Linked DNA regions of Lonchura striata. The main gene of each other region encodes a partner of the protein of the gene in region 3 in a complex. Links are inferred from orthologs where the notes say so. Each region holds a gene or a part of one and is shown on either strand. Other genes may lie near its edges.

What was found. Proteins that work in one complex are often made in the same cells at the same time.
Region 1: TXNL4A (region 3) and LSM2 share a complex: the UniProt entries of both Homo sapiens proteins name them as parts of the precatalytic spliceosome. The link is inferred for Lonchura striata from reciprocal best matches to the Homo sapiens genes TXNL4A and LSM2.
Region 2: TXNL4A (region 3) and SART1 share a complex: the UniProt entries of both Homo sapiens proteins name them as parts of the U4/U6-U5 tri-snRNP complex. The link is inferred for Lonchura striata from reciprocal best matches to the Homo sapiens genes TXNL4A and SART1.

What each region holds. Positions count from the first base shown.
Region 1 is NC_134631.1:266,793-273,969, reverse strand, and holds the start of LSM2 (U6 snRNA-associated Sm-like protein LSm2), read left to right. Parts: upstream 1-4,177; 5' UTR 4,178-4,245; coding exon 4,246-4,248; intron 4,249-4,753; coding exon 4,754-4,821; intron 4,822-5,164; coding exon 5,165-5,195; intron 5,196-6,115; coding exon 6,116-6,175; intron 6,176-7,177. UniProt on the Homo sapiens protein: Plays a role in pre-mRNA splicing as component of the U4/U6-U5 tri-snRNP complex that is involved in spliceosome assembly, and as component of the precatalytic spliceosome (spliceosome B complex).
Region 2 is NC_134638.1:688,670-696,442, reverse strand, and holds the start of SART1 (U4/U6.U5 tri-snRNP-associated protein 1), read left to right. Parts: upstream 1-4,773; coding exon 4,774-5,083; intron 5,084-5,546; coding exon 5,547-5,598; intron 5,599-5,677; coding exon 5,678-5,733; intron 5,734-6,537; coding exon 6,538-6,664; intron 6,665-7,773. Other genes in the region: amino acid transporter heavy chain SLC3A2, read right to left, coding at 207-396, 1,056-1,120, 1,280-1,348, 1,432-1,526, 1,909-2,085, 3,142-3,589. UniProt on the Homo sapiens protein: Plays a role in mRNA splicing as a component of the U4/U6-U5 tri-snRNP, one of the building blocks of the spliceosome. May also bind to DNA.
Region 3 is NC_134603.1:84,665,609-84,673,609, forward strand, and holds the start of TXNL4A (thioredoxin-like protein 4A), read left to right. Parts: upstream 1-4,992; 5' UTR 4,993-5,026; coding exon 5,027-5,165; intron 5,166-5,336; coding exon 5,337-5,509; intron 5,510-6,793; exon of another isoform or gene 6,794-6,869; intron 6,870-8,001. UniProt on the Homo sapiens protein: Plays a role in pre-mRNA splicing as component of the U5 snRNP and U4/U6-U5 tri-snRNP complexes that are involved in spliceosome assembly, and as component of the precatalytic spliceosome (spliceosome B complex).

The DNA.
Region 1 (7,177 bases), on a different chromosome or scaffold from region 3:
GGGACACCATGGGGACATCGAAGGGGCAGTGGGGACAGGGGGGACATGGAGGGGACAAGGAGGGGACAGTGGGGCCAGGGTGGGGACACATGGGGACAGCAGGGGGACATGGCGGGGACATGGAGGGGACACGGTGGGTCACAGCCCCTGCCCCGGCCTGTGTCACCATCCCTGTCCCCGTCCCTGTCCCTGCCCTGTCCCCATCCTGTCCCTGTCCCTGTCCCCATCCTGTCCCTGTCCCTGTCCCCATGTCCTCCTCCCTGTCCCTGTCCCTGTCCCCATCCTGTCCCTGTCCCTGTCCCCATGTCCTCCTCCCTGTCCCTGTCCCCATCCTGTCCCTGTCCCTGTCCCCATGTCCTCCTCCCTGTCCCTGTCCCTGTCCCTGTCCCTGTCCCTGTCCCTGTCCCCATCCTGTCCCTGTCCCCATGCCACATCCCTCATGTCCCAGCCCTGTCCCCACATCCTGTCCCCACGTCCTCACCCTGTTCCCGTGTCCCCACCCACCCACCCACCCCCGCCTTCCCGATGTCCCCGACCTGTCCCTGTGTCCCCGTCCCCGTGTCCCCACCCTGTCCCTGTCCCTGTGTCCCTGTCCCTGTCCCGATGTCCCCGACCTGTCCCTGTGTCCCTGTCCCCGTGTCCCCACCCTGTCCCTGTCCCTGTGTCCCTGTCCCTGTCCCGATGTCCCCAACCTGTCCCCAGAGTCTGTTGTGTCCCTGTCCCTGTCCCTGTCCCTGTCCCTGTCCCTGTCCCTGTCCCTGTCCCCAGTGTCCCTGTCTCCAGTGTCCCCATCCCTGTCACCATGTCCCTGTCCCAATGTCCCTGACATGTCCCCGTGTCCCTCTCCCCGTGTCCCTGTCCCTGTCCCGATGTCCCCACCCTGTCCCCATGTCCCTGTCCCTGTCCCAATGTCCCCAACCTGTCCCTGTGTCCCTGTGTCCCTGTGTCCCTGTCCCTGTCCCGATGTCCCCACCCTGTCCCCGTGTCCCTGTCCCTGTCCCAATGTCCCCAACCTGTCCCTGTGTCCCTGTGTCCCTGTGTCCCTGTGTCCCTGTCCCTGTCCCTGTCCCGATGTCCCCAACCTGTCCCCAGCGTCTGTTGTGTCCCTGTCCCTGTCCCCGTGTCCCCACCCTGTCCCCATGTCCCTGTCCCTGTCCCGATGTCCCCAACCTGTCCCTGTGTCCCTGTGTCCCTGTCCCTGTCCCAATGTCCCTGTCCCTGTGTCCCTGTGTCCCTGTCCCTGTCCCGATGTCCCTGTCCCTGTCCCCAGTGTCCTTGTTCCTGTCCCGATGTCCCCAACCTGTCCCCAGCGTCTGTTGTGTCCCTGTCCCTCTCCTGATGTCCCCAACCTGTCCCCATGTCCCTGTCCCTGTCCCGATGTCCCCAACCTGTCCCTGTGTCCCTGTCCCTGTCCCGATGTCCCTGTCCCTGTCCCCAGTGTCCTTGTTCCTGTCCCGATGTCCCCAACCTGTCCCCAGCGTCTGTTGTGTCCCTGTCCCTGTCCCCGTGTCCCCACCCTGTCCCCATGTCCCTGTCCCTGTCCCGATGTCCCCATCCCTGTCCCTGTGTCCCTGTGTCCCTGTGTCCCTGTCCCTGTCCCGATGTCCCCACCCTGTCCCCATGTCCCTGTCCCTGTCCCGATGTCCCCAACCTGTCCCTGTGTCCCTGTGTCCCTGTGTCCCTGTCCCTGTCCCTGTCCCAATGTCCCCAACCTGTCCCTGTGTCCCTGTGTCCCTGTGTCCCTGTCCCTGTCCCTGTCCCGATGTCCCCAACCTGTCCCTGTGTCCCTGTGTCCCTGTGTCCCTGTGTCCCTGTGTCCCTGTGTCCCTGTCCCTGTCCCTGTCCCTGTCCCCGTGTCCCCAACCTGTCCCTGTGTCCCTGTGTCCCTGTCCCTGTCCCAATGTCCCTGTCCCTGTCCCCAGTGTCCTTGTCCCTGTCCCGATGTCCCCAACCTGTCCCCAGCATCTGTTGTGTCTCTGTCCCTGTCCCTGTTCTTGTCCCCATGTCCCCATGCCTGTCCCAATGTCCCCTACCTGTCCCAGTGTCCCTGTCCCTGTCCCCGTGTCCCCACCCTGTCCCGTGCCATCCCTGTCCCCTCCCTGTCTCCTTCCTGTCCCCATCCCGTCCCCAATGTCCCCATCCCTGTCCTCGTCCCTGTCCCCTCCCTGTCCCCTCATTGTCCCCATCCCTGTCCCTGTCCCCGATGTCCCCAATGTCCCCATCCCCAATGTCCCCAATGTCCCCTCCCTGTCCCCAGTGTCCCCAATGTCCCCGATGTCCCATCCCTGTCCCCACCCAGTCCCCAATGTCCCCGATGTCCCCGATGTCCCCTCGCTGTCCCCACTCACCGACAGCTCCGTCGATGTCGGGGTGGCCCCGGGGCCGCCCTTAAATCCCCGAGGTGACAGGGGGGAGGTGACACCGGAGGTGACAGGGGGGAGGTGGCACCGGAGGTGACAGGGCAGGTGACAGGGAAGGTGCCAGGTGGGTGCCAGGTGGGTGACAAGGGGCAGGTGACACCGGAGGTGACACGGGAGGTGCCAGGTGGGTGCCAGGACGGTGACAGGGCGCAGGTGACAGCGGAGGTGGCACCGGAGGTGACAGGGGGCAGGTGACAGCGGCAGGTGACAGGGGAGGTGACACTCGGTGACAGACTCTGGTGACACTCGGTGCCATCACCGCCAGCCTGGCCGGTTCTCCCGGTCCCCACCTGGCCACGCGTGGGCGAGGGTGGCCTGGGAGGGGACACGGGGACAGGGGACACGTGGGGGACATTGGGGACATTGGGACATTGGGGGGGCACTGGGGACATTGGGGACATTGGGGACATTGGGACATTGGGGACATTGGGGACATTGGGGGGACATTGGGACATTGGGGACAGTGGGGACATTGGGGACATTGGGGACATTTGGGGCACATTGGGGACAGTGGGGGACACTGGGGGGACATTGGGGGGACATTGGGGGGACATTGGGGACATTGGGACATTGGGGGGGCACTGGGGACATTGGGGACAGTGGGGACATTGGGGACATTGGGGACATTGGGGGGACATTGGGGACATTTGGGGGACATTTGGGGGACATTGGGGACATTTGGGGGACATTGGGGACATTGGGGACATTGGGACATTGGGGGGACATTGGGGACATTGGGGACATTGGGACATTGGGGGACATTGGGGGGACATTGGGGACATTGGAACATTGGGGGGACATTTGGGGCACATTGGGGACAGTGGGGGGACATTGGGGGGGCACTAGGGACACTGGGGACATTGGGGGGACATTGGGGGACATTGGGGGGACATTGGGGGGACATTGGGGACATTGGGGACATTGGGGGGACATTGGGGACATTGAGGGGACATCGGGGACATTGGGGACATTGGGGGGACATCGGGGGGACATTGGGGACATTGGGGACACTGGGGACATTGGGGGGGACATTGGGGGGACATTGGGGACATTGGGGGGACATTTGGGGGGACATTGGGGACATTGGGGACATTGGGGGGACATTGGGGGGGACATTGGGGACATTGGGGGGACATCGGGGACAGGGAGGGGACATTGGGGACACTGGGGACATTGGGGGGACATCGGGGGGACATTGGGGACATTGGGGACACTGGGGGACATTGGGGACATTGGGGGGACATCGGGGACAGGGAGGGGACATTGGGGACATTGGGGACATTGGGGGCTTTGGGGGGACATTGGGGACATTGGGGGCTTTGGGGACATCGGGGACATTGGGGGGACATTGGGGGGACATTGGGGGGACATTGGGGGACATTGGGGACATTGGGGGGGACATTGGGGGGACATTGGGGACATTGGGGGGACATTGGGGGGACATTGGGGGGACATTGGGGGACATTGGGGACGTTGGGGGGGACATTGGGGACATTGGGGACATTGGGGACATTGGGGGGACATTGGGGGACATTGGGGGGGACACTGGGGGTCACAGGGGTCACGGGGGGGGTCACAGGGGTCACAGCACCCCCTCCTCCCGGTGACCTTTGACCCCGGGGCGCGCGCCTGACTCATTTCCCGCCACCCCCGCGGTGGGCGTGGCCTCGGCGGCGCGGGGGTGGGCGTGGTTCCGGCGAGCGGGCGGAGCTTAAAAGCGAGAACCCAACGGTGATTGGCCAGGGGGCGTGGCCTCGGCGGCGGAGGGGGCGTGGCCGGCGGCGGAAGGGGGCGTGGCCTGCGCGGCGCGCTCCGGCGGGCGGAGATGGTGAAAGGGGGGGGGGGCGGGGGATCTGGGGGGATTTTGGGGGATTTTGGGGGGTCCGAGGCGGGTTTGGGGGATTTTGGGGGTCTCAGGGGGAATTTTGGGGGGCTTTTGGGGTCTGAAGGGATTTTGGGGTGTCCGAGGGGGGTTTGGAGGGGTCTGGGGGGATTTTGGGGTCCGGGGTCATTTGGGGAGCTCCGGGGGGATTTTTGGGGGGGTCCGAGGGGATTTGGGGGGGTCCGGGGGGGTTTGGGGACTCAAAGGGGGTTTGGGGGTCTCGGGGGGGATATTTGGGGGGATTTGGGTTGGATTTTGGGGGGCCTCGGAGGGGATTTGGGGGGTCCGGGAGGGATTTGTAGGGTTTTGGGTGGGTTTGGGGTTTTTTTGGGTGACTCGGGGGGGTTCTGGGTCCGGGCGGGGTTTTGGGGGTCCGAGGAGGTTTTTGGGGTCCCCGGGGGGATTTGGGAGCCCCCCAAAACCCCCCTGACCCCCCCCGTGCCCCCCTCAGCTGTTTTACTCCTTCTTCAAGTCCCTGGTGGGCAAAGACGTGGTGGTGGAGCTGAAAAACGACCTCAGGTGAGGGGGACCCCCAAAATCCCCCCCAAAAACCCCCCTGGGACCCCCCAAAAATCCCACCGGGACCCCCAAAATCCCCCCCAGCCCTGGGACCCCCCAAAAACCCCACCCAGGACCCTCCAAAAGCCACCTGGGACCCCCCAAAACCCTCCTGGAAACCCCTGGGACCTCCAAAATCCCTCTGGGACCTCCAAAACCCCCCCTGGGAACCCCAAAACCCACCCTGGGACCCCCAAAAACCCCTTGGGACCCCCAAAACCCCCCATGGAACCCCAAAACCCCCCCTGGGATCCCCAAAAACCCCCCCAGGGACCCCCAAAACTCTCCCCGTGTCTCCCCCCAGCATCTGCGGGACCCTGCACTCGGTGGATCAGGTGAGTGGGGGTCCCTGGGGGGATTTTGGGGGTCCCTGGGGGGGATTTTGGGGGTCCCAGGAGGATTTTGGGGGTCCCTGGAGGGGTTTTGGGAGAGTCTCTTGGTGGTCCTAGAGGGATTCTGGGGGTCCCTGGGGGGATTTTGGGGGTCCCAGGGGGGGTTTTGGGGGATCCAGGGTGGATTTTGGGGGTCTCTGGGGGGATTTTTGGGGGTTCTGGGGGGCTCTGGGTGGATTTTGGGGGATTTTGGGGGTCTCTGGGGGCATTTTTGGGGGTCTCTGGGGGGGATTTTGGGGTCTCTGGGGTAATTTTGGGGTCTTTGGGGTAATTTTGGGGGTCTCTGGGTTGATTTGGGGGTCTCTGGGGTAATTTTGGGGGTCTCTGGGTTGATTTGGGGGTCTCTGGGGTAATTTTGGAGGTCTCTGGGTGGATTTGGGGGTCTCTGGGGTAATTTTGGGGTAATTTTGGGGGTCTCTGGGGTAATTTTGGGGTAATTTTGGGGTCTCTGGGGTAATTTTGGGGGTCTCTGGGGTAATTTTGGGGTAATTTTGGGGGTCTCTGGGTGGATTTGGGGGTCTCTGGGGTAATTTTGGGGTAATTTTGGGGGTCTCGGGTAATTTTGGGGTCTCTGGGGTAATTTTGGGGTAATTTTGGGGGTCTCGGGTAATTTTGGGGTAATTTTGGGGGTCTCTGGGGGGATTTGGGGGTCTCTGGGGTAATTTTGGGGTAATTTTGGGGGTCTCTGGGTTGATTTGGGGGTCTCTGGGGTAATTTTGGGGTAATTTTGGGGTCTCTGGGGTAATTTTGGGGTAATTTTGGGGTTCTCTGGGTGGATTTGGGGGTCTCTGGGGTAATTTTGGGGTAATTTTGGGGGTCTCTGGGGTAATTTTGGGGGTCTCTGACCCCCCCGTGCCCCCCAGTACCTGAACATCAAACTGACCGACATCAGCGTCACCGACCCCGAGAAGTACCCGCACATGGTGGGCATTTGGGGGATTTTGGGGATTTTGGGGATTTTGGGGGGATTTTGGGAGATTTTAGGGTGATCTGGGGGGGATTTTGGGGGATTTGGGGAGATTTTGGGAGATTTTGGGGAGATTTTTGGGGGATTTTGGGAGATTTTGGGGAGAATTTGGGGGATTTTGGGAGATTTTGGGGAGATTTTTGGGGAGATTTTGGGGTGATCTGGGGGGATTTTGGGGATTTCTGGGAAGGATTTTGGGGAGATTTTTGGGGTTACCTGGGGGGATTTTGGAGCGTTTCTCTCTGTTTTTTGGGGGGATTTCTCTGGGGATTTTTGGGATTTTTTGGGGTGCATCTCAGGAATTTTTGGGGTGTCTGTGGGTGAATTTTGGGGTGTCTGTGGGTGAATTTTGGGGTGCCTTTCCCCCCAGCTCTCGGTGAAGAACTGCTTCATCCACGGCTCCGGGGGCGTTTTTGGGGGGAATCTTTGTTTTTTCGGGGTTTTTGGGGGGATTTCTCGGGGATTTTTGGGGGGATTTCTCTGGGGATTTCTCTGGGGATTTTGGGGATTTTTTGGGATGTGTCTCAGGAATTGTTGGGGTGTCCCCGGGTGAATTTTGGGGTGCCTTTCCCCCCAGCTCTCGGTGAAGAACTGCTTCATCCGCGGCTCCGGGGGCGTTTTTGGGGGAATCTTTGTCTGTTTTTTCAGCGTTTTTGGGGGGATTTCTCTGGGGATTTTTTGGGGTGTATCTCAGGAATTGTTGGGGTGTCCCCGGGTGAATTTTGGGGTGCTCTCCCCCCAGCTCTCGGTGAAGAACTGCTTCATCCGCGGCTCCGGGGGCGTTTTTGGGGGGAATCTTTGTTTTTTCGGGGTTTTTGGGGGGATTTCTCGGGGATTTTTGGGGGGATTTCTCTGGGGGTTTTTGGGGGGATTTCTCTGGGGATTTTGGGGATTTTTTGGGGTGTTTCTCAGGAATTGTTGGGGTGTCCCCGGGTGAATTTTGGGGTGCTCTCCCCCC
Region 2 (7,773 bases), on a different chromosome or scaffold from region 3:
AAGGGATCTGGAGGGTCCCGGGGAGGTTTTGGGGCTCCTGGAGGGATCTGGGGGGTCCCGGGGAGGTTTTGGGGCTCCTGGAGGGATCTGGAGGGTCCCAGGGAGGTTTTGGGGCTCCTGAAGGGATCTGGGGGGTCCCGGGGAGGTTCTGGGGCTCCTGGAGGGATCTGGGGGGTCCCGGGGAGGTTTTGGGGGGCAGCACTCACGCTCCAGCCCAGCCCCACGGAGGAGTTGGAGCTGAGGAAGTTGAGGAGGTTCCTCACAACGTCCTCGGGGGCCTTGGAGTCGCCCTTGGGCTCCAGGGGCTGCAGGAAGGGTCCCAGCAGCAGCTGCGGCATCCCCGGGCCCCGCGGCACCTCCCAGGGGTCCTGCAGGCGCGTGCCCCCCACCAGCACCCTAAAAACAGACAGGGGCACCCCAAAAATGGGGGGGATGAGTCAGGGGAGAGCCCTGAAAATCAGGGGGAAAAGTCAGGGGAGAGCCCTGAAAATGAGGAGCAAAAGATCAGAGGAGACGCCAAAAAATGAAGAGGAAACAGGTAAGTACCCCAAAAATCAGGGGGGAAAAGGCAGGGAAGCACCCCAAAAATGAATAGGAAAAAGTCAGGTGAGTACCCCTAAAAATCAGGGGGGAAAAGTCAGGGGAGCACCCCAAAAATGAGGAGGGAAAGAGCAGGGGGACACCTGGAAAACAGGGAGGATGAATCACAGGAGAACCCCAAAAATGTGGGGGAAGGTCAAGGGAGCACCTCAAAAATGAAGATCAGAGCAACAACCAAAAAACAACCTTTTCCTGACCTAGAAAAGGCCAGGGAAGCACCCCAAAAATAGGGGCAAAAGGTCAGAAAATCACCCCAAAAATGGGGGCGGGAAGGTCAGGGGAGCACTCCCAGCACCCCAAAATACAAGGAAGAAACCCATGAGGCAAAGAGTGAGAGGAGGAGAGGTTTGGGGGGGAGTCAGTGAGTTTGGGGGTGACACAGGGGACACATTTTGGGGTCAGTGAGTTTGGGGGGACATTGGGGTGACACAGGGACGTTTTTTGGGGGGTCGCACCTGTCCACACCGCTGGGGCTCGGCTGCTGCTCCGTCAGGTTCCTCCACTGGGCCACCACCAAGTTCTGGGGGGACACAGCGGGGGTCACCAGAGATCCTAAAGACCCCCCAAAATTCTACCCCAAACCCCCAAAATTCTACCCCAAACCCCCAAACCCCCAAAATTCTACCCCAAACCCCCAATTCCACCCCAAACTCCCCCAAATCCCCCCCAGCCCCCTCACCGGGAGCTCCTCGATGCCATCCAGGAAGATCCCAGCAATGTCCTCCTTCAGCCAATGGCTCAGGGCGGCCTGGGGGGGCACAGGGGGGGTTCAGGGGGGTCCCCCACACCCCCAAGCCCCCCACCCCCACCCCACAGCCCCCCCAGACCCACCTGGACCTGCTGGTGCACCTCAGAGTCTTGGGCTGCGTCCCCCCACACCGGATTCCCGGCGGGGTTTGGGGTCAGGTCCAGGATCACCTTCACCCCTGGGTGAAAATGGGGGGGTCAGGGCACCCCAAAACCCCCCCAGCATCACAGACCCCCCCCCCCACTATGGGGGATCCCCCTTTTTTGGGGGCTCCTTCTGCCTTGCTAAACAGCCAACCATGGGAACCCCCAAACTGAGGCTCCCACTGCATTCCCCCCCCACCCCCAATTTTGGGGGTGTCCCCCCCCATCAATTTTGTGCCCCTCAAATTTTGGGGGTCTTCCCCTTCAATTCTCTGCTGCCCCTCCCCCAAATTCAAGCTCTCCATTTTTCCCCGCCCCGTATCCAACATTTCCCCCAAATTCTGGGGTTCCTCCCAGTGTCCCCCCGCCCCCAGTTTTGGGGTCGTCCCCCCCAATTTTGGGGTGCCCCCAGCTCACCTTTGTCCTTGGCTGCATGCACCAGGGCGCTGAAGTCCTGCATGGTGCCCAGGGTGGGGTCCAGCTCCTTCAGGGGGGGGATTTTGGCCTCGGGGGATTTTTGGGGGTACACGGGGCCCAGCACCAGCCCCCCCACCTGCAGCTTCTCCTTCAGGTACCCCAAACGTTTCTCCACACCTGGAGAGGAGGAAAAAGGGGTGAACCCCAAATCTGACCCGACAACACAACCCCAAAATCCCACCTAGACCCCAAAACCAGCCCCTGGGTCCTAAAACGTCCTCCCAGGATCCCAAGATCACCCCAAAATTGGAGGAAACTCCAAAATCCCCAAAATTTGGGGGCCCGCTCAGGCTTTGAGCAATTCCCAGAGATCGTGGGACTCCCCTAAAGTGGAGGAACCCCCCAAGTTGCTGAGTCACTTGTCCCCAGGCTCTTTTATGGGTGGGGGGGTCCTGAAATGGGGGTCCCCAATCTGATCCTGTGGGTTCTTTTTGGTAAATCACCCTGACACATGCTGGGGGGGCACTGAAACGACTCCCCCCACAAAATATTCTTTAATTCATTTTAGGGGTTTATTAAATGGGGTGTTCCCCCCCCCTCACAGGCTCCCAGGAGACCCCCAAACCTTCCTGGGGATGCCCCCAACCCTCCGAACCTCCCCAGAACCAGGCTGGAGACTCCCTAAACACCCCCAACTCACCTCTAGGGATCCCCCAAACTTCCTAAGCCCCCCAGAGAACACCCCCCAAATTCCTTCTGCCATCCCCTAGGACCCTTCGACCCTCTCCCACCCCCAAAATTACTTTCTAAACCCCCCCAAACCCCTCATGGGACCCCCCCCAAATTCCCCCAGCCATCCTCTGGGACCCTCCCACCCCCAAAATTACTCTCTAAACCCCCCCAAACCCCCCATGGGATCCCCCCATATTTCCCTAGCCATCCTCTGGGACCCTCCCACCCCCCAAAAGGACCCCGACCCCCCCCAAATTCCTCCAGCCATCCTCTGGGACCCTCCCACCCCCAAAATTACTCTCTAAACCCCCCCCATGGGATCCCCCCAAATTCCCCCAGCCATCCTCTGGGACCCTCCCACCCCCCAAATTACTCTCTAAACCGCCCCCAAACACCTCATGGGACCCCCCCCAAGGGATCCCCCCAAATTCCCCCAGCCATCCTCTGGGACCCTCCCACCCCCCAAACTCCCAGGAGACCTCCCCAAAACCCCCCCCTCACCTTTCAGATCACCTCCAAAAGCCTTGGGGGGAGCCCTGTAGAGCGCCCCGAGCTCCCACCAGGCTTTGGTGGGCAGGGGCTGGCAGCGGGGCGCTTGCGCCACGATGGCAGCGGCGGCCCCCAACATCCCGATCCAGCCCCCCCAGAAGAGCACGAGCAGCACCAGGCGGGCCCGGGCCCAGAGCGGCGTCCCCGCTTCCCTCAGCAGCTCCTCCTTGCCCAGCCCCGTGAATTTGGGGCTCCCCGAAGGCGCCGAACCCCCTAAAGGAGCCTCTTCTTCCTCCTCGGGGGGGATCTTCATCTTCAGGCCGTTCTTCTCCACGCCCGGCAGCTGCTCCGGGGCTGGGGGAGGCTGCGCGGGGGTCGCGGGCTCGGCCGCCGCCATCGGCTCCGTCTCGGCCTCCAGCGCCGACAGCTCCAGCTCGCGGGGTGCCGCCTCGGGCTCCATCTGGGGGGGAAATAAAACACCCCGAAATGTTCAGAAAAACCCCGAGCCCCAAAAGGCTTCGGGGCGGGGTTGAACTCTCACCCCACGAACGGCCTCTGAACCCCGACTTTATCCCCCCCCACCGTGGGGAAAGCGTCTTAAAGAGATCCAAAGGTGCTCCCCGCACCCCAAAACCTCCTCGGTAGCACCCTAAAATCCTCTTAGCGCGGGTTTCAAGCTCCTCTTGAGTATCTAACACCCCTCACCCCAGGGACCTCAAAAGCCTCACAGAGGCCCCAGAACGCCCCAAGATCTTTCCAGGCCTCGCGGCCGCACCTCAACGAGTCCCTGAACGAGCAAATCCGCCCTTGGGGGGGATCTCGAGCCCTTCCCGCACACCCCAAAATCCTCAAAGAGGCTTTTGCGCCCCCCAGAAGCGCCCCGCCGAGCTCGAGCCCCCTCAGAGCAGGCGGCACCTTCGCCGATGCCTCGTGACGGGGCTGAGGGGGGGAGGCTCGGCGCAGCCTTTTATACCCCGGCAAACCACGCCCACTTTCACTGACCACGCCCCCTGGCGCCGCCGCGGCGCCCGGCCCGGGCGGATCAAAGAGCACGAGGCGGGGGGGGCCGGACACGCCCCGGGGCGAACGGGGCGGGACAGAGCCCCGGAGGGCGCGTTTTGGAGTCTCTGGTTTGCGCCACCGCTCAGCGGAACGCCACTTATGGGGCTCGTGCCTTTTTCTTCTCCCGGAGGGTTCTCTACGCCCCCGTCCTTTTCGGGGTACCCCCCATGCGCCGCCATTTTGCCACACCCCAAGCAGCCGCCATTTTGCTGTTGTCAAAGTCTCTATTCAGCGCTGCTAGGCGCAGCCATTTTGCTGTGCCCCGGGGGTGCGCTATTTACGGAGCCCCCTCATCGGGCAGACCGCACGGGGTCTCCTCACTGGGAACCGAGTCGGGAGATCCTCGGTGCCTCTTACGGAGATCTTCAGCCCTTTGTGGGGGGACAGGACGGCGTCACAACCATCCTGCTCATTCTGCCCACCCCTCCGCGCGCATAATGGTTCATCCCACAGCGCCCCCTCAAGTCCCGCCTAAACCTCGGCCAATCAGCACCGCGCTCCGCAGGAAGTAGCCAAACACCGGAAGCGTCTCCATGGCAACCACCGGAAGTGCCGCTGTCTCCCGGAAGTGGCGGCGCGGCCATGGGCGCCTCGAAGAAGCACCGGGAGCGCGGCGGGGCCGAGGCGGCCGAGGAGACCCCGGGAGCGGCCGGGACGGGCGGCGGCGGCAGCGCGGGGCGGCCCCGCGAGCACCGCAAGCACCGGCACCGCGGCGGGGAGCGGCGCGGGAAGCGCAGCCGCTCCCGGGGCGAGCGCGGGGGCTCCGGGGGAGGCTCCGGTTCCTCCCGGCGCGGAGGAGCCGAGGAGAGCGGGAGGAGCGGCCATGGCCGGGGCGGCACCGAGAGCGAGCGGAGAGCGAAGAGGGAGAGGAAGGAGGAGCGGGAGGAGCCCGGTGAGGGCGGGGGGAAAGGTTGGGGGGGGCTGGGAAGTTTTGGGGAGGAATTTGGGGTTTGGGGAGGGATTTGAGGGGGAGTTTGGGGGGATTTTGGGGTGTCGGGAGGGGCTCGGGGGTGCTGGAGGTGATTTTGGGGGGGGTTTCAGGGGCACAGCAAAGATTTGGGGTGCTGGAGGATTTGCGGGGGTTGGAGGAGGTTTTGGGGTGCAATTAGTGGGATTTTGAGGGGGGGTTGTTGCAGCTGGGGGTGATTTTGGGGGTTTGGGGGGGGCAGCTTTGGATGAGAGAGACCCCAGAGGGATTTTGGGGGGTTAAAGGTGAAATTTGGGGCGTTAAAGGGGATTTTGGAGAGATTAAAGAGAACTTTGGGGTATTCAGTGGGAATTTTGGGGTTTTGAGTGTTACAACCGCTCCCCTAATTCTAATTAATTACTAATAATTTATTAATTATCCTCTCCAGCCCCTCCTAAACCCGCAGCAGGCGAATCCTCCCTGAGCGTGGAAGAAACCAAGTGAGGACCCCACCCCAAATCCCCCAAAATTGGGGTCCCCCCACCCCAAACCTCCCCTGAGCCCTTTCCCTGTTCCCAGTAAGCTCCGGGCCAAACTGGGACTGAAACCGCTGGAGACCGGCCCGGCCAAGAAAGGTGAGGGGATTTTGGGGAAATTTGGGGGATTTTTGGGGTGCTTGGGGCTGGTTTTGGGGCCGATTTCAGTGATTTTGGGGCGCTGCCCAGAGGTGATTTTCGGGTGATTGTGGAGTGCCCCGAGGACGATTTGGGGCTGATTCTGAGGTGCTGCTGGGGGGTGATTTGGGATGGATTTTGGGGTGCCCCAGGGCTGGTTTTGAGGTTGATTTTGGGGTTGATTTCCTTGGTTTTGGGGTGGATTATGGGGCTGATTTTGGGGTGGATTGTGAAGTGCCTGGGACTGATTTTGGGGTGCTGCCCGGGGCTGATTTTGGGGCCAATTTCACTGATTTTGGGGCCAATTTCACTGATTTTGGGGTGGATTATGGGGCTGATTTTGGGGTGGATTGTGAGGTGCCTGGGACTGATTTTGGGGCGCTGCCCGGGGCTGATTTTGGGGCCAATTTCACTGATTTTGGGGTGGATTATGGGGCTGATTTTGGGGTGGATTGTGAGGTGCCTGGGACTGATTTTGGGGCACTGCCCAGGGCTGATTTTGGGGTCAATTTCACCGATTTTGGGGCTGATTTCACCGATTTTTGGGTGGATTACGGGGTTGATTTTGGGGTGGATTGTGGGGTGCCCTGGGGCTGATTTTGGGGCCGATTTCACTGATGTTTGGGGCTGATTTTGGGGCTGATTTCACCGATTTTGGGGCCGGTTTTGGGGCTGATTTCACTGATGTTTGGGGCTGATTTTGGGGCTGGTTTTGGGGTTGATTTCACTGATTTTGGGGCCGGTTTTGGGGCGCTGCCTGGGCAGAGGCGGGCACCAAGGAGGAGCCGGTGGCAGCCGAGCTGATCAATCCCCTGGCGCTGCGGCAGCGCGAGGAGATCCGTGAGAAGCTGGCGGCGGCCAAGGAGAAACGGCTGCTGAACCAGAAACTGGGGTACGGGGGGGATTGGGGAGGAATTGAGGGGGTTTGGGGAGGATTTGGGGGGTTTAGGGAGGATTTGGGGAGGATTTTGGGGGGTTTGGGGAGGAATTGGGGGAATATGGGGAGGAATTGGGGGAATTTGGGGAGGATTTGGGGAGGATTTGGGGGGATTGGGGAGGAATTGGGGGAATATGGGGAGGAATTGGGGAGGTTTGGGGAGGATTTGGGGAGGTTTGGGGAGGATTTGGGGGGGTTTGGGGAGGAATTGGGGGAATATGGGGAGGAATTGGGGGGGTTTGGGGAGGATTTGGGGGGATTGGGGAGGAATTGGGGGGGTTTGGGGAGGATTTGTGGGGATTGGGGGGGTTTAGGGAGGATTTGGGGGGATTGGGGAGGATTTGGGGGAATATGGGGAGGATTTTGGGGGGTTTGGGGAGGAATTGGGGGGGTTTAGGGGGCATTTGGGGTGGAATTGGGGGGATTTGGGGGTGTTTGGGGTGGAACTGGGGGGGCTGAAGGGCATTTGAGGAGGAACTGGGAGGATTTGGGGGTTTTTGGGGTGCTGAGAGGAATTTGGGAGGGTTTGAGAAAGAATTGGGGGGTGTAAGGGGCCTGGGAGAGCGTATGGAGGGATTTTGGGGGGAATTTAGGAGGAATTGGGGGTGTTATTGGGGATTTTGGCAGGGCTGAGAGGAATTTGGGAGGAATTTGGGTGTTTTGGGGAGATTTGGGAGTGTTTAGGGAGGATTTGGGGGTGTTTGTGGGTTTTGGGGGGGGATGAGAGGAATTTGGGAGGAATTGGGGGGTTTGGGAGGTGTTTAGGAGAGTTTTGGGGGAGCTGGGAGGGGATTTGGGGGGTTTGGGGAGGAACTGGGAATTCCCGGGAGGGTTTGGGGGGATTTGGGATTTTCAGGGGGAATTTTGGGGGGCCAGGATGGGATTTTGGGGCATATGAAAAATTTGGAGAGCATCTGGGAGGAGATTTTAGGGCACAGGGAATATTTTAGGAGATTGTGAGGAGCACAAAAAAGAATTTGGGGTAGAATTTTTAGATGCAAGAAAAGGTTTTTAGGAGTATTGAGAAAAATCTGGAATCGCTGGGATGCAGAGAAGAGATCCAG
Region 3 (8,001 bases):
TTTCTCATTTCTTCTTTGTTTCCAATAAATTCCTTAATGGTGATAAGGTGAAAGTGTTTTTTCAAAAGTGCTGCAAGGTCTTGCAGCACACCATGAGTTCCTCCTATATCCAGGATCAAAAGAGCTGGCAACTCTCCTTCTGCCATGACCTGCAACAGAGGAATAGAAGAAATACTCCTTTGTTTAGGAGAACACCCTGAAAGAAGCAATGATGTTCCTTTAAAAGTTATCATTTAAATTCACATGAGTAGATCAGAAAACAAATGGAACTCAACAGTGCTTTTAAACCACAGCCCCACGCTGGTGTGCCACTTATGATGTTCCCCGTTCCTCCCCGGCCCTCCGGGACCCCTCTGGCTAGCTGTCCCCTCAGGAAACCAGGGTTTGCTGCAGTCCCACTGCTCTGGGCTTACCAGGCAGCGGCTGGGTTGGTGTGGTCCGAGCGGCGGCGTGCCACAGTGGCCACAAGGATTCAGGATAAAGATACGAAGAGAGGTCAATTTGTGTGCAGTCCAGAGAAGGTTGTATTGCCTGAATGCCACAGGGACAAAAAGACCCTGGGCAGTTGTCCAGATACAGTTTTTATACAGAAAAATTAAGAGATAAGGTCAAGACAATAGAGACAGTGTCCAGCCTGGGGACATAATGATCATCCCATGGGTCAAGTCCAATGGGAATGGCTCAGGGGAGGGGAAAAGGGGGGTTACAGAAAAATGCTGAAACAAAACTTTCTAGAAACTTGGGGAAATACAGAAATGAATCTTGCTCAGCTTCCAATTCCCAAAGCCCTTCTCCCACCGCGCCTGCATGGTAGCCACACTGCTATATCCAGGATCAAAAGAGCTGGCAACTCTCCTTCTGCCATGACCTGCAACAGAGGAATAGAAGAAATACTCCTTTGTTTAGGAGAACACCCTGAAAGAAGCAATGATGTTCCTTTAAAAGTTATCACTTAAATTCACATGAGTAGGTCAGAAAACAAATGGAACTCAATAGTGTTTTTAATCCACAGTCACTTGGTACTAGCGTGGTATGTCAGACAACTTCCAAGTACTTTTACCAAGAGCTGATTTAGACTATAACACCAAGGAATACCCACACTCTTACATCCAAATCCAGTACTACAAACTGTTCTTCTCAGAGTTTCATGTTACTCCTGAATCAATATTGATTTCATACAAAACTAGTAGCTTTTCTGGTAGCTTACTCACCAATGCCTTTCTATAAGCAGTGCTATGAAACAGGCTGCTAGAAATTTACTCAAAGTTTCTTGCCTGTTGGCTGTGGTTGGTGAAGCCACAGGCAATGTAGGGTGGCACTGAGGCCCAGATAGGTCTGACAAATATCGGCCAAAGATGGTTTACATCTAACAAATTTGCACAATGAAGGGCCACTCTTGGATAGCTGTTAGGCTGCTTGCCTTCAGTGCTTTAAACATTCCAATCTCTACCTGAACTTACCTCATGCAAAATTTAACACACCTATGTGCTGAACCAGTGAGGAAGAGCACTAGAGGAGATACCACTGATAACACAGTCCTTCATGCTAGAACTTTCCTCTGCCCTGAGAGTTTTGAGCCCAGTCCTCTCTACAACACTCCTGCAAATGCACTCTGCAATAAGATAGGGGCTCCACACACAACCAAACATCTAATTGGAGCTCCTATTGGCAAAAGTGGTAGTTGAAGATTTCCTGCATATCTTAATAATAGCTGTGCCTAATTTCCTACAATTATTTTTGCTGTGCTCCACTGACTTTTGATCTCCATCCCATTCTATCTCCTAGACTTGTGTCCAGGAAATCTGATGTTTTGCTACTTGAATCAGAACAATTTTCCACAGCAGTATGCTACTTTATTCTGGGCACACAGTGCTGGTCAGCTGTGTCCTATTGCTTCACTCCTCTCACAAAAGCCTTCTGTGAGTAATCAGAACTCAAACCTGTGACAAAAAAGTGTAAGTGTAGGTTGGAAGGTTTTGTCAACCATTGCCCTGAGCAAACTCATACTTATCCCAACCACATCGATTAAATGGTTACAAGCTCAGCACCAGTACTGCTGTTTTATCCTGGCCTTGATGTGCTTTTCTGCTTCAGTTTCAGTCTGCTTTGTACATGGGCTTGAAGGGGCAGGTCTGCAGTTCACCACAATATCTCTGATAATAGTATCTGGTTTTCAACTACAGCAAACAAAGCAAGGAGGTGAACAGTGCAACCAAATTGCAAAGATCATGTTTTTATATACATCTAATATTTTTTTTACCAGCTGAAGTTGTCAGCCACATGTAGTTGTCAAAATTGCAAATTTCCCCAGATGCAGTCTGCATTTCTTAAGAGTATCATACAACATTACTAGAATAAACTAGATTTGTATTGCAGAATGAATTATGCATAGAATAAAAGAGGAGTTGATGTCATATTGTGATGGCATTGTCCAGCTTCATAAATGATCGGAATCTGGTAATCCTGGAGGGCAGTTAAACCTTCTGCTGTTAAGCAGGGAAAACTGGGCGTCAGACAGGACCAAGTGACTGGTAGATGCCAATGAGGCAGCACTGTATTATTCCATCTGCTTTCATCACCAACCGCTACCCATTGCAATACACCACACATGATGGGCAGAGCCAGACTTGCTTTCACTTTGGAAGCCTTTCCTACACTTCAGAAGCAGAAAGGTGACCCATGAGGAAGCCTCTAGCTATAAACAAACCAGCTGGTGCACTAGAAGCAGGCTAGTGGCATGTTGATGGATCTTTCAATGTGTGTGAGCACGCTGAGCCCACCATTCCAGCTGTTTGATGCATGCATGACCCATTCACTGCCTTCAGCACTGGTTCAACAACAACTGCGTCTTCTGCTTGCCCCAGATACAATCTTAAAAAATTACACTGATAGCAGGAAACAAAAAACACTTAAAGGAACCTCAAAGAAGGAAGGGGGCTCTCCAGATACCAACCTTGGTCCCAATGCTTATTGTTTGTCTTCCATCACTATGTGGGCACATCCTGTAGCTCTATTTGTAAATGACACTTCTGCGACAGCGATGTACACAAGAATAACAACTGGATTAATAAATTCGTACGTCAAATTTGACTGGCCAAACATCAAGGGAATCAGTTTTGAAAGACTTGATGCTTTGCTCCTGAACATAATTATTCAGTTATCAGATGTCTTGTCCAGTGTGCTAAATTTAACAGCTGTCAAGGATATGACATTTTTGGTTTTGGACTAGTACCATCTGCAGTATCACTAAGTTCCTTTTTTTTTCCCTTTTTTTTTTTTTTTTTTTTTTTTTAAGTTGACTCTTCTCCGTTTGTATTTACATAGGACTGTTTACCTACATGCTTCCATGTAGGTAAACAGTCATAATCTCATAATCACATAATCAATGGCAGGACCAGAACTTACTACATTTACCTTATATCAAATGATTTATGTAAGGTAAGTGTAGTAAGTTCTGGTCCTGGCATTGCAGAGAAAACTTTGAAAATATGACTTCGATTAAGACAACGGGGCAAATATATGTAAGTATTAACTTCAGCACTAATTGAAGTTGCCTTATTTCATCTGTGGAGCTTGACGCACTCCTTACTCTCAAATTTGTTGGTTGGCACTGCTGTATCACCTTGGACTTAAATCATAACAAAATAAACCTACATAAATTTTCCTAACTCAGTTTTCAATTAAAGTTAACAGCTTGTGTTATCCGGGATCAATTCCTCCCACTAACTTTTCTGAAGAAGAAGACTTGCTATACCTGAGGGACAACCAAAGCACCCAGCGGGGCTGTTTTTTCTGACGTGCCTTTCACAGCTCGGTCCCGCGGCAGCGGGCAGAGCCAGGAGCTCACGGCCCCGCTCCGGGCCGGGCACAGGCGCTCCTGCCCAGCCCCGCTCGTTTAACCCAGCCCTGCCCGGGCACTGCCGGCGCCGGGGCTGGCGACTCCCAGGGAAGCTCCGGCACGGGGATCACCGCCCCCGCTGCCTCTGCCCGTGGCTACAGCCAGATCGGACTGTCTCTCCTCTCCCTCTCCTTCTCCTGTGCCCGCACGTCCTAAAAAGGCGACAAAGCGAGACTTGGAGGACTTGGATAGTTTTTGGAGAGCTCAGCATTGTTGGGCAAAGCTATTTGTCACCAAATCACATTGCTCACCACAGCCCAAGCTGCACCTTGTGGGGAATTTTTATAGTGAAAACGATACTTTTGTCCCTGCCTGCTGCAAGCTAACCTTTCAAATTAGTGTCTGCTGTGGAATTAAGGAAACAGATTGGTCTGGGATGGCCTATGCCAATGGCCAGCTCGATTGTAGAAACCAGTGCTGGAATGTGCTGGTTTTGCTGCTGACCACTTCCACTGGAACGTTTGCGCAGTGATCCGGTAGTGGTATTTTGATTACTGGAGCGGCGGGAGACCTCATGGAACCCCACCGCCAGTATCGGAGTGGCTGGCAGTGCAGCTGCCACGGCAGGGCCGACACTGGGGGTATGGAAATTGTCATGCTGTGGGTGAATACACTGAGAAAACCTTCCACAGCCAAGAGATGCAATAGCATAGAATCACAGCATGGTTGGGCTGGAACGGACCTTAAAGAGCATCTGGACCCAGCTCCTCTGCTATGGGCACGGACACCTTTCGCTACACCAGGCTGCTCGTCCAACCTGGCCTTGGACTCTTCCAGGAATAGGGCATCCACAGCTTCTCTGAGCATATCTCCTTGGTCAAATCCCATGGAGGCACAGGAGAATGTACTAACAATCAGAGGTCAGCAGCACAGCGTAGGAGATCGGGGCCCTGATCACCTCTGTTTAATCCTCTCCGTGCTAGCCGGCATCACCAATCCCCACGGCACGGCTCCACCTCCCACCTGCGCGTGGGGACGCGGCGGGACGCGGGTGTCCCTGACGGGGTCTCCTCCCGTGGGGAGCGCGCCCGGAAGCGTGTGTGCGTGTGCGTGTGTGCGCGTGTGTGCGCGTGTGCGTGTGTGTGTGTGTGCGCGTGTGTGCGTGTGCGCGTGTCTGTGCGCGTGCGCATGTGTGTGTGTGTCTGTGTGTGTGTGTGTGTGTGTGTGCCTCCGCGCGAGTGCGCGCGCAGCCCCGTGCCCGCCCTTCCGCTTCCCGCCCGTGCCGGCGCTGCCGCCGCTCCGTCTCTGAGGGAAGGGCGCCCGCGGGGTGCGCTGGGGACGGGCTGCGATGGGCACGGGCCGCGGCGGGATAGACGGGCCGCGGCGGGACGGGCGGGCCGCGTGGGGTGGGCGGCACTCGGTGCTGGCGCTCGGCGCCCGCCGGCGCCCCGGGAGGGCCCGGGCTGTCGGCTCCATGTGTATCCCTGCCGTCCCGCAGGCTCCCAGCCGGCCGCCAGGATGTCGTACATGCTGCCGCACTTGCACAATGGGTGGCAGGTCGACCAGGCCATCCTGTCGGAGGAGGACCGGGTCGTGGTCATCCGCTTCGGGCACGACTGGGACCCCACGTGCATGAAGATGGATGAGGTCCTGTACAGCATCGCCGAGAAGGTAAACGGGAGCTTTCTGCTCCTGAGCTCAGTGTTCCCTATGGCTTGCTTGGAGACTGGGGCAGCTTATAACTGGGATTCCGCACAGGTATTCCAGCTTTAGGTGGCAGCGGGAAAGCTGTGTGGTTACACTTTCATGAGTGTCTCCTAAAGACTGCCCTGATGTTTGCAGTGTTCTGGGGGGTGAAAAGAGCATCGTAGATGTTCGGAAATGGAGATTGCTGCCTGTTAATAACCCGTCACTGAGCTGCCATCGGCATTCAGGCAGAAACAGTGCTACTGCGGCTCCAAGTAACCCAGCAGTCTCACTTTACAGTGGAAATGTGTGATACCTTCAGGTTTCTATCTGAGTGACTTGAAAATTTACTTTCATTTTGGCTCTTAAAAGCGGTGAGGTGCTAAAATGTGCAGGATGGTGTTGATTAATCTGTCATTCATATAATTCTGATTAATCTGTCAGTGATGTTATCCATGGACACCAGTAGCATTCCACTGAGTTACATGGACTGAATTAATTTTTTAGAGCTGAACTCCACAGCTGTTTTCAGATGGAAACTGAATGATTATAAACATCTGGTCACTTAAGAAAGATAGATAGATAGATAGATAGGAAAAATTAGAATACACAATCAGCTATAATTTACCTTTTTATATATTTGCTAAAGGATTTGCGAAGCAGTAGATGTAGAATATTGACAGGTCTTTAACTGAACCACATGAAGAAAGAAGTAAAAAAATCTGAATTAGAAACATAACTTGGGTAGGAAAAAGTGCCAGCTATCATAGAATGGTTTGAGTTAGAGGGGACCTTAAAGATCTCATTCCAGCTCTTCTGCTGTGTCTTACACTAGACCAAGTTGCTCAGGGCCCCATCCAGCCTGGCCTTGAACACTGCTAGGAATGGGGCATCCACAACTTCACTGCTTTCATAGAAAATTCTGTGCATGCTGCATAGATTGACATGGAGTTGTTTTTGTGGTTTATTTTGCCTTTGAACTTTTTTAAAATAACTTGAAAGTCCCCACAATTAAAAATCTACACCCACAGCCAGGGGTTAAGATGTATTAGAATGCCGTAAAGAGTTGTGACATGTTTTAATACAGTTGTTTTGTATTCAGCCTGGTGGGAGTGTTATGCTCAGATACTGTTAGTATGGACTTACAGTACTAACTTACTGTTAGTATGGTGGGATGCTTGGCAATTTGGCAGACCTGCTGGCAGCTAGGGGTGACTGGGGGAAGAAAGAACAGAGTAACTTCTTATTTAAAAATCTCCCTCTGCAGAAATGGCAGATTAAAGGGGGAGATCCTACCTCATCTTCTTGCTTACAAGCCATGTTTGGATCTCTGCTGTTTTAAAGAGTGAGTAAAAGTTCCAATTGTACAGGTGTTTATTCTAGAGAATAATACAGAATGTTAACGTGCTATAATTGCAGGCTAAATTTGAAAACAATGTGGCTGTATTTTACACTTGTTACCCTGGTGCAATATTCTTTTAGGCTGCAGCATGTTTTTGGGTAGCAGTAATATTTATCTGTACTTTATGATAGGAGAACAAGGTTTTCTTTTCAGTTTTCACAGGAAAAGAAACTAGAATGCTATGTTAAAGTACAAAGTAGATTGTTTTCCCTGAAATGTACTCCACTTGGAGCTGACTGGGTTTTTCCCCTAGAGTTACATGAAAAAGAAGCAAGGTTTCACTGAATGTCAAAACAAATCATAATTGTAAGATGTTAGAATTTTTTTTTTTTGCTTTGTCAGGGTTTCAATCAAACATTGATTGAAACACGAATTGAGTTCACAAATTTTGCCTTAAACACCTTTTCTAAAAATACACTTTTATATTTTCTTTACAGGGAACTCATAAAAACCTATCCCTTAAAATACAAAGATTGGTTTGCTAGATTAAAACACCTTGTTTAAGAAAGGATTTATCTATTACTGAATATAAATCAGGTAACTGTTGTATTGGATCAGTGTGGGTTTAGGGAGGATTTTTAAAATGTGTATTTATTTAACCATTATCAGAAGTGTGAATAGCTGTGGCTTGTTCTCAAACATTAGTTGTGCCTCTGCATTTCTGGTAAGGTTACATGAAAAGTGAAAGAGGAGAAGAAGGTGGGGTGGAGAAAGAGGCAGTTATGAAAGAAACATATAGGTATTTTAGCTACGGTTGTTTGTAATGAAAAGCTGAGCAAAGTTAATCCATTTACTGATGTCTGTAGTTTTCAAAATTATTAGCTGTCAGCACTGCTCTTGGCAGTACAATGTCTTTCTGTGTTCCCCTAGAAGTTTATACCTAGAGTTACAGCACAATTAGCAAGGAAAAAAAAATCAAATAAATATTGTCAGTACAGACTTTTGGGTTTGTACTTGCTCTGTTCAGTTCAGTAATGCAAGTCTGCCAGCCACCTTCAATTCAGTCATTTGTTGCAAATGCTAGTCTCAGTTTCTGTATTTTCTTCCTATGAATTATTTGTCCATAAAGTAGTGT